Linked DNA regions of Solanum lycopersicum. The main gene of each other region encodes a partner of the protein of the gene in region 2 in a complex. Links are inferred from orthologs where the notes say so. Each region holds a gene or a part of one and is shown on either strand. Other genes may lie near its edges.

Region 1 (4,612 bases), on a different chromosome or scaffold from region 2:
TAGGTAGTTGAGCATTGTCTAGTTCCCCTACATTGTTATTATTACTCACCTACAATCTTTTTCTTTGATTTTAGTATAACCTATTTTCTTTTGTTTCAATGATCTATTATTTGTTGTTGCTACTATTCTCTTCTTCGTTGTTTTTGGCATGCTTCTTCGCTACTGTATTTGCTTTACTTGCTTGATTTTTTTACTTTTATATGTTTTACTTGAGCCGAGGGTCTATCGGAAATAGTCTCCTTACCTTCACAAAATAGGGCTAAGGCTGCGTATGCATCACGCTCCCCAGACCCCACTTGTGAAATTACACGAGTATGTTGTTGTTGCTTTATATATGACAAATGACCAAAAAGGAATACCACTAAAATTTAATTAGATAGCAAATTTTGACAAAATATAAGCAGAACGTGCTGAAGGAGCCAGCAACAACAAGATCAATTTTTTTCATTTTCAGGAAACTAATCGATGTGAACATTGTTACGATGTTGTTCATTTTATCACATCACTAGGAGCTTGTCTTTCTCCACATGTTTGTGTCAATTAAGATAAAAATTATGGTGCTTACCTAGTCGTCAACCTCTCTTATTCAATTTACCAATACACACAGAAGCATGACACAAACGTAAAGCCACTGAGGTGTGTACACCAGATCATAGGAAGCCTAACAACCTTCTAATTGAGGGAGGATCTTAGACATTATTAGTTTTAAACATTGACACAATTCTAAGTATCAACCAAGAAATCCATAAGTTCTGTACTGCCTTTATCTCTCTCAAACACTGAAGAAAATATGACAAATAACAATGACTATTAAAAAACTTTTTATGCCAGTAGATGTCTAAAGGTTCTATAATCTATGATGATATTAAAATGGACAAAATCTTATAAGTGTCAGTATCTCCAGAGACGAAAGAAGTATAATAACCCGGCACTTCCTGTAACTGCAAACTGTACCTCAAAATGATCCAGCTTTAATAGTAGTGCTACTCCTATCAGTCCTCCATGAGCTAATTAAGAACAAAAGAACCGTAGTTTTGAACTTTTGAGACCATATGAAATGCTATATTGACCTGAGACGGCAGTCTTAAGTTTTAACCACCAAATCTAAGTCATCATCAGCATATAGAAAGGTTGAGAACTACACTACAAATAATAATGTGCTATGGTGATTGAGAAATCCAAATCGTTCATTATTATTTTTTACAACGGTGGTGCCAGGCCAGCACATGCCTTTAACTATTCCACAAGTACCTGCTACCTCCTACCATCATGAATGCCAAGTAACTCCGCCAGCAAGTGTTAGCTAGATCAGAGAAACTTCAAATTATTCATTTTATAAGGAGGGTAAAAAAAAATTAAATTCTCATTGCTTGCCTCCACGTATAGGTTGATAAATGAGAATCTTAGGCCCAGCCATAAGGGAATTCCAAGAATCAGAAACATTAAAACCAGACATGAAGGGTAATCCTAAGGATTTTGCCATGAGAACTTGTCTTCCAGACCTAATTATAGAACTGCAACTTTCTTTTTCAATTTATTAAAAAAATTAAAGTAATACAATCCTAGCGATTAACAGTGAAAATTGAGATGAAGAGTCAAAGGGGCAGTACTTAGCCTTCACCAAGGTAAGTAAAGTAAAACACTTTAAACAAAGGATCAATGTCATATTTATCTCTTTGTTTGAGTAGATCCAGTTAGTGTAACCTTTAATCAGAACTTATGTGACGTTTCATGTCATTACTCCATAACAAATTCTTCTAATATCCAAGTACAGTATGGCCTATGATCAATAGGGATCAGTGGCAAATTTCTCAACCAGGCTGATGATAACCAAATGGTAAAACTGCAGAAGATTGAAAGGTGCTTGACCAAATCATAACGAGAAAAAGGACAAAATATGATTCAACATTTACCAGTGATGCATAACATAAAATGAAGTATACTATGCGTCTACAAGGAAAAAAGTCAATAAGACGCACTTGGATTGCTTCTGGATCAACAGTAGTAGTTATGCCTAGAAACTTTGCAATCTCTGCTAAATCTGCCAAAAATACACAAATGTACCTGATCAAAACAGACATAAGAAGCAACATTCATACAAACAATTTCCTACAATTTCTCCAGATCTAAACCTAAACAAACATTCTCAAGGACTTCCTGATTATACTAATGAATGGTTTAATCAGCACTTTAATAAGTGAACCAAAACAAAGCTCTTGACTGATAATCAGAAACATAAACCCAGTTGATGTTAATGAAGTCATCTAACGAATATACGCATACTAAGATCAAAACTTCAGTAAGAACAATCAAGTAAGATGCATTGCATTCCCAAATAAATGCACCAGAACTAGAATTCTGACCAATTTCCAACGTCAATCCAAAAAGGGTTTAAGGGTATTGAATAAAAGCTCTAAACTGACCGATCAAAAAAGAAAAAGAAAATTGCTATACACTGAATGCGGGAAGTCTCCTCATCGCGATCCACAGCATCCCCTTGTAGATTTTGCTGAGAAAATGGCGACTTATCCCCTAATAACCTGTGAACTCAAACCAAAAAAGTAAAATTAAGAGAAATAATAAAGATCACCCATTTAGTGTTAATACTTGATTCTTATGAGAAAAGGGATTATACTTGAAGAAAAGCCATTCAAGAAGAGCGTATCGCTCCATGCCGGCAAAGAGAAGGGACTGAGCAGGAGCATTGGCTCTTGGGTAGTTCAATGTAGCCAATTTCTTCTGTATTTCTTCCATTTGTTTCGCTGCCATTCCCAAATTCGATCGTGTCCTTCGCAATTGGGCTTCAGAATTTACTGGCGAAAACTCAAAGACGAGAGAGAAAGAGTTTGAATTTGGTGAAGAAAGAAAAAGGATAGGAGAAATAGTGTTTTAAATTGAAGTTATGTTCTTAAATGAACTTTTGTGAAAGCAAAAAAAAAAATAAAAATCATTAACATTTGCACTCGTTATTTGCAAATTTTGAAATTTAATATTAGTAAAACAATATGAATTATATTTTTTTGAAATATATTATGTTTGTTTAGTAAAAATTTGATATATTGTATAATAAGTGTATTAAAATGTGTAATAAATATATTATCCATCATTAAAATTTGTATTGTATGTGAATTATAAAATTGATTATTGTGATATCTATTAAACTTGGATTATAAATGAACTAAGAGGGATCAAGTGAAGAAAAAAATGTTATTATTATAAATGGTAAATATTTTTTTAATCATATATACATATATAAAAGAAAACCTTCGACCCGCCTTTGTGGCACAACCTCAAACCAGAATTTCCTTTTAAGTTTATTTATTTCCAAAAGTAGCCTTCTCATTTCATGAAAAAATGCGACTTTTATGAAGAGTTGTGACTTTTATGAAGAATTACGACTTTTATGAAGAGTTGTAACTTTTATGAAGTATTACGACTTTTATGAAGAGTTGCGACTTTCATTAAAAGTTGAGACTTTTATGAAGAGATGTGATTTTTATGAAAGATTGTGACCTTTCGAAAGATCGCAACTTTTCCAAATAGTTGTAACCTTTCAGTAAAGGCATAATTAATAAACATTTGTGCACGGTATCCTTTGTTGTATATAAATAAATAGATTTCCTCTCACTTTAAAAAAAACGAAAATTCTAAACCTCCTCCTTCTCTTCTTCTTTTTCTTCTCAACTAAACATTTATGTACTTTGTTCCTATTGAGTGTCTCACTGATGATTGTTTATGTTATAAATCTTGGTATAATTTATTTAGTCATTAAATTATGTTTATGTCAGTAAGGATAAATGATAGGATGTAATAAATTTCATTTTCTTTACATTATTAATGTTTGTTACCACGTAATAATCTTGTATGCGAGATAATATAGTGTTTTAATTTTAATAACTAATAGATTTAAAATATTATTTTATAAATTCTCTGATATAAAGTTCCCGCACGAGGCGCGGATAACTTTACTAGTTATAGTATATTTATGTAAGTTTTTCATTATTTATTTTGTATTTGGTAATTGAATGTTATTTAGTTTTATAGTTTTATTTTATCCAACTGTTTTAGTATGAATTTTAAGATAAGTTAAGTTCCTCGAACGTTTATGTTAAACTAATATAAATTATCATAATTAAATAGTTTTATAATGCAAAAACACATATTAATTAGTCGAAGTAAAATATCTCTATATTAATATATATAATATGCATATATTAAATTGATATAAATATTTAATATATATAAAAAGAATACTATAATAAGTTTGATGTAATATTTAAGATGTGAACAAATTGAAATGAACACCAAAATTGTTTATGGCCAAAATTAGTGATTCAGATAGCATTAAATTTGTGTTGTAAAAATTAAGAGCACACAAAAAGAATGAACAAATATTATGTTCTGGATGCAAAGAGACTTGCTAATAAATATAATTATGACAATATGTGGTAACAAGTTATTGTTAAGTAAGGAATAAAAGAGTAGATTAATCACAATCTTATTTAAAAATGTCTTATTTCTTATAATAAAGTGATTTTCGGTCTTAAATTTTGGAGTGAGTACAATTATCACCTTTCGATTTGAACTGTATTGCTTATTACTAGACAATGTC
Region 2 (4,438 bases):
GTCTTTTCTTTCATGGAACTAGGAGGAATATTCTTTTGAAATTAACAAGCTAAATAACATGCACAACCTGTTTTATAAATGATTCAGATAAATCATAAATTTAGAAACATAAGTTCAGAGGGAGAGACCTCTCTGGAAGTCTGGCAGCTGAATTTTGACTGGCAGCAGATATATCTGTAGAATCAAGGTAAGGTTATATACTTGTATTCTTACAGAAATCTTGATATGAGAACAACAACTTCTAAAAGTTCTGTTACTTAAATAGTAAGAGAACTACTCAACCAGCCTCTGAAGAATACACTGACATGAGTAAATCAAGAAAAAACTATAACCAAGAAATCCCTGAGGAGCAATGGGGCACAGTTTTGTGTAAATGGATAACAAGTAAATCTAGAACTTATGCACCTCAGCAGTAGATTTTTCCTATTTGCACCACAATTTGAAACATTACAATCAAATTGACTACATATTATACCCATTCAAATAATAATATGTATATAGGGGCTAATTATAAAACTGACATAGATGTCCAGGTCTTATTTATAAACGCTGGTTTTGTTTAAGAGGAAAACAAGTAGAAATTCGGCAACCAACAAACATATTGAAAGGCCAAGCACCAAGGGAAGATAAAGGAAGACAAATTAGCAACTTAAACTCACCAATGTCATCAATAGCAACTGCATCAGCTAACTTATCACATTTAGCATCTAACCGGCCACCAATCTCCCGTGAAAGTAATCTCTGGTATTCTGCCACGTCCTACAATAGCAGACATATAAGCATCTATGGGCGTGTAGAACTAACACTTGATAACCAGATGAATAGCGATTCCACGTTTGTAGGTAACAAGCAATCAAAGCATCGATAAATGTACACAAATAAAAGACAACTACAACACTTTCATTGAAGATTAATTGGAAAACAGAAAAGATTTCCCCACAAGACCATGAGGTTATCACGTCAATCAAATAGGTATATTATACCACTGATGACATCTGATGTAGTTGAGTTTGCCATAAATATGCAGGTGTAATTCCAAGGAACCGATTGGGAACACCACCAACATCTGGTTCTGTTGAATCAGTTGTACTAATAGTAGGAACAGCTCCAATTGCAGATGCATTGGTTTGATAAGCTGAGTTTGAGCTCGAGCTTAATGTAATGCTGGTGCTTGTGCTATCAAAAGAACTTCTTGACATTGTACTCCACTTTTCAATTTCCTCCTCGTGAATCTCACCGTCTTTGGAGATAAGAGGAAGCCTCAATCTCTGTGCTGCTTCTGCAACAACCATCCTATGCTCAAGAGCCTCATAAACCTGAAGTCATTCCAGAGCCAAAATCACCCAGAAAACTTAAAACAATTTGAACAATGAACCAAAAAAAAAAAAACTTGTCTGCAGAACTCTATCGTCAGAGCCTAAAAAATGTACAATGCATAACACCTTAAACTTATCATTCATTCTCATCTATTGATAATCAATTTGTTTATCAGTACACAATCTATACGGGTGTGCATAAGCATGCACTAGACGGTACGTGCAATCTTTTAGTAAAAAATCGTGCACAAAATACGTATACCCAAGGCAGGCCTGTAATGTCAGTGAACTAAAAAGAGAATCCTTTTACCCAAACAGCATCCATAAAATCGAATAAACTGAAAAAAAGTGGAACCTGAGGAGGGTTTTTCAAGCCCAATTGAGAGTATAAACCCTGGACATCTCTCATACCACCAAGATTAGCCACAGAAATGGCCTGCTGGTAATCCTCTACCATCGCAGTTGCTTCAATGTATATTGCCTATAAGGTTTATCCAGACAAAGGCAATCAGGAAAAAAATGAAAATGTTAACCCAAAAATAGAAATCCTACCAAAGATTCCAAGTATCGTTGTCTCTCCTTTGACATCTCTTCTCTCGCCTGCAATGCCCAAAAATAAATCATTTTTTTGAGTGTTTGGTTTACCTTAACGATCAAATAATAAGCATTGTAGAGAGATTAGAAAATACAAGTTGGAGATCGTAGTGAGCGGATTTGGAGATGAGAGATCCATCAGGGGCTAAACAATGGCGGTCTAACTGATCGATCAGCTGAGCGACGTCCGCCGGCAAGTTTTGCGAACCCAAACCTCTTCCCATTTCTCCGGCGATTCAATTCAAATCACTGAATTTTTTGGACTTGGATTTTGATTCTTCAAATATTATTTGAGTTTTTTACTTTGTTAAAAGTAAAGTATTTTTGGTTTTTTCTAACATAACAAAATTAAAAATTAATGGTAGGGATAATTTTTTTATTTCTTCTTTAATTTTTAGGATTAATATAGTATTACTAATAAATATTTCCGTTATACTCAAACATAGTTATTTAAAATGCAGATTTAGTAAAAATATCAACTTTAATAGTACGAAAGGAGAATTGATGCAAAAATTGAATGAATAAACGTTGTCAGCCATCAGCAACTAATTCAAGTATTTCTCAAACTAATTGCTACAAAATGTAAATAATTCAGTAGATAATTTGTCTAAATCAATACAAACAATTATAATAAACCAAAACGTGCGACAAACAATCTGTGAAAGAGAATTGGCCAAAGAACATCCATTCTATTGCCTCAAATATAGGAATTTTTCACAAAAGGAATTGTAAGTGAGAAATTCAATAAAACAATGTAGATTCTACTAATTTATGATTAACAATCATATCATTATTTAATTTTCACTAAATATAGAATATTATTATTTTGGTGTTTACGTAAAAAGAATTATGTAATATAATGCAAATAACTATTACAGAGGGCGTTTTTATAAAAAATAAAAGTTTGAAATAAAATTTTAATTTTAAAAAGAATTCCAAATAATGAGATTTGGCTCAAATCTTAAAAATTAATATTAAAAATTTGAAATATTTGTCAAATAAATAATAAATTATATGAAAAAAATTATTTGTAAAATAATTTGAAAAATTTATGGTCAAATGGAAGGACAACTAAATAGGGAGTAGTAAAACTCATCTAATTACAAATTAAAGTAGGGTATATTTCTCCAGTGTGTCGTCTGTAATCAATGGCTTCTTCACTCTCTTTCACTTGTCATGTCGTCAACTTTCCCATTTGTGATCCTAAACTAACCAATAGAAACCCTAGTTTCCGATCCCTGCAACTTCCCCTTCGTTCAATTCAGTGTGGTATTCGTGAACTACGAGGAAGAATCGACACAATCAACAAAACCCAAAAAGTTACAGAAGCAATGAAACTAGTCGCAGCCGCTAAGATTCGTCGAGCACAAGAAGCAGTCATCAGTACTCGACCCTTTGCTGAAACCCTTGTTGATATGTTGTACAACATCACCCAACAGCTTCAGTTTGAAGAGGTAGATATACCGTTGACAGAAATAAGACCGGTAAAGAAAGTTGGCCTTGTTGTTATTGGAGGTGAAAGAGGTCTTTGTGGTGGTTTTAACAATGGGATTTTTAAGAAAGCAGAGAGCCGGATGGCGGAATTGACGAGTCTTGGAATTGGGTATACTTTGATTAGTGTTGGTAAGAAGAGTAATGCTTATTTTCGGAATGTTGATAGATTTGTTGTTGATAGATTTGAGAGTTTTCCGACTGCTAAAGAGGCTCAGGTTATAGCTGATGATGTTTTTTCTTTGTTTATTAGTGAACAAGTTGATAAAGTAGAGCTTTTGTACACTAAATTTGTTTCGTTGATTAAATCTGATCCGGTGATTCATACTTTGCTCCCATTAAGAGGAGAGGAGTTTTTTGATGAAGATGAGTTTTTTAGGTTGACTAGTAAGGAAGGTAAACTGAGTGTGGTGAGGGATTTGAGGGTGAAAAAGGGGGAATTTTTGCGTAATTTAGAGTATGAGCAAGATCCTGCTCAGATTCTTGATGCATTGATGCCATTATATTTGAATAGCCAGATTTTAAGGGCACTTCAAGAGTCATTTGCAAGTGAGGTTGCAGCTAGGATGAATGCAATGACTAGTGCAACGGATAATGCTGTTGAGTTGAGGAGGAACCTTTCTATTGCTTATAATCGGGAAAGGCAGGCGAAGATCACAGGTGAGATATTGGAAATTGTTGCTGGAGCAGATGCACTAATTACATAGATGCTGAAATTTCTGTAGGATGTTTAAGAAAACCATTGCTTTAAGTTGATAATCCCTTGTTCCAATCTGTCTTAAAGGGAGAGATCATCTCTTTCTATATGTGTGTATGTATGAATAAAAAAATTTATGATTTTTTTTCCCATTGGTTATTCAGTATCCCATATTTTTATAATTTGTTTTTTAGAAGAAGGATGTAAGAAGTGAGTCCAAGTATAATCATGCTGTACAGTATGTTACTTATGCTTGTTAATTATTCATAGATTTTGTGAGAACCATATTTCAACATAAGTAGCTAGTAAGAGCTGCTTCTTTAACAAAAATGCAGAACCT

Evidence for each region.
Region 1: AUGMIN subunit 4 (region 2) and NMP1 share a complex: the UniProt entries of both Arabidopsis thaliana proteins name them as parts of the augmin complex. The link is inferred for Solanum lycopersicum from reciprocal best matches to the Arabidopsis thaliana genes AUG4 and AUG7.

Annotation. Positions count from the first base shown.
Region 1 is NC_090800.1:76,721,830-76,726,441, forward strand, and holds the start of NMP1 (nuclear matrix protein 1), read right to left. Parts: upstream 2,889-4,612; 5' UTR 2,770-2,888; coding exon 2,636-2,769; intron 2,541-2,635; coding exon 2,424-2,540; intron 2,065-2,423; coding exon 1,980-2,064; intron 1-1,979. UniProt on the Arabidopsis thaliana protein: Contributes to the assembly of the acentrosomal spindle and phragmoplast microtubule arrays as part of the augmin complex. Regulates the association of gamma-tubulin with the spindle and phragmoplast microtubules.
Region 2 is NC_090811.1:422,715-427,152, forward strand, and holds the start of AUGMIN subunit 4, read right to left. Parts: upstream 2,995-4,438; 5' UTR 2,135-2,994; coding exon 2,006-2,134; intron 1,917-2,005; coding exon 1,869-1,916; intron 1,798-1,868; coding exon 1,672-1,797; intron 1,317-1,671; coding exon 984-1,316; intron 760-983; coding exon 660-759; intron 175-659; coding exon 129-174; intron 1-128. Other genes in the region: ATP synthase gamma chain, chloroplastic-like, read left to right, coding at 3,059-4,108. UniProt on the Arabidopsis thaliana protein: Involved in microtubules reorganization during spindle and phragmoplast development.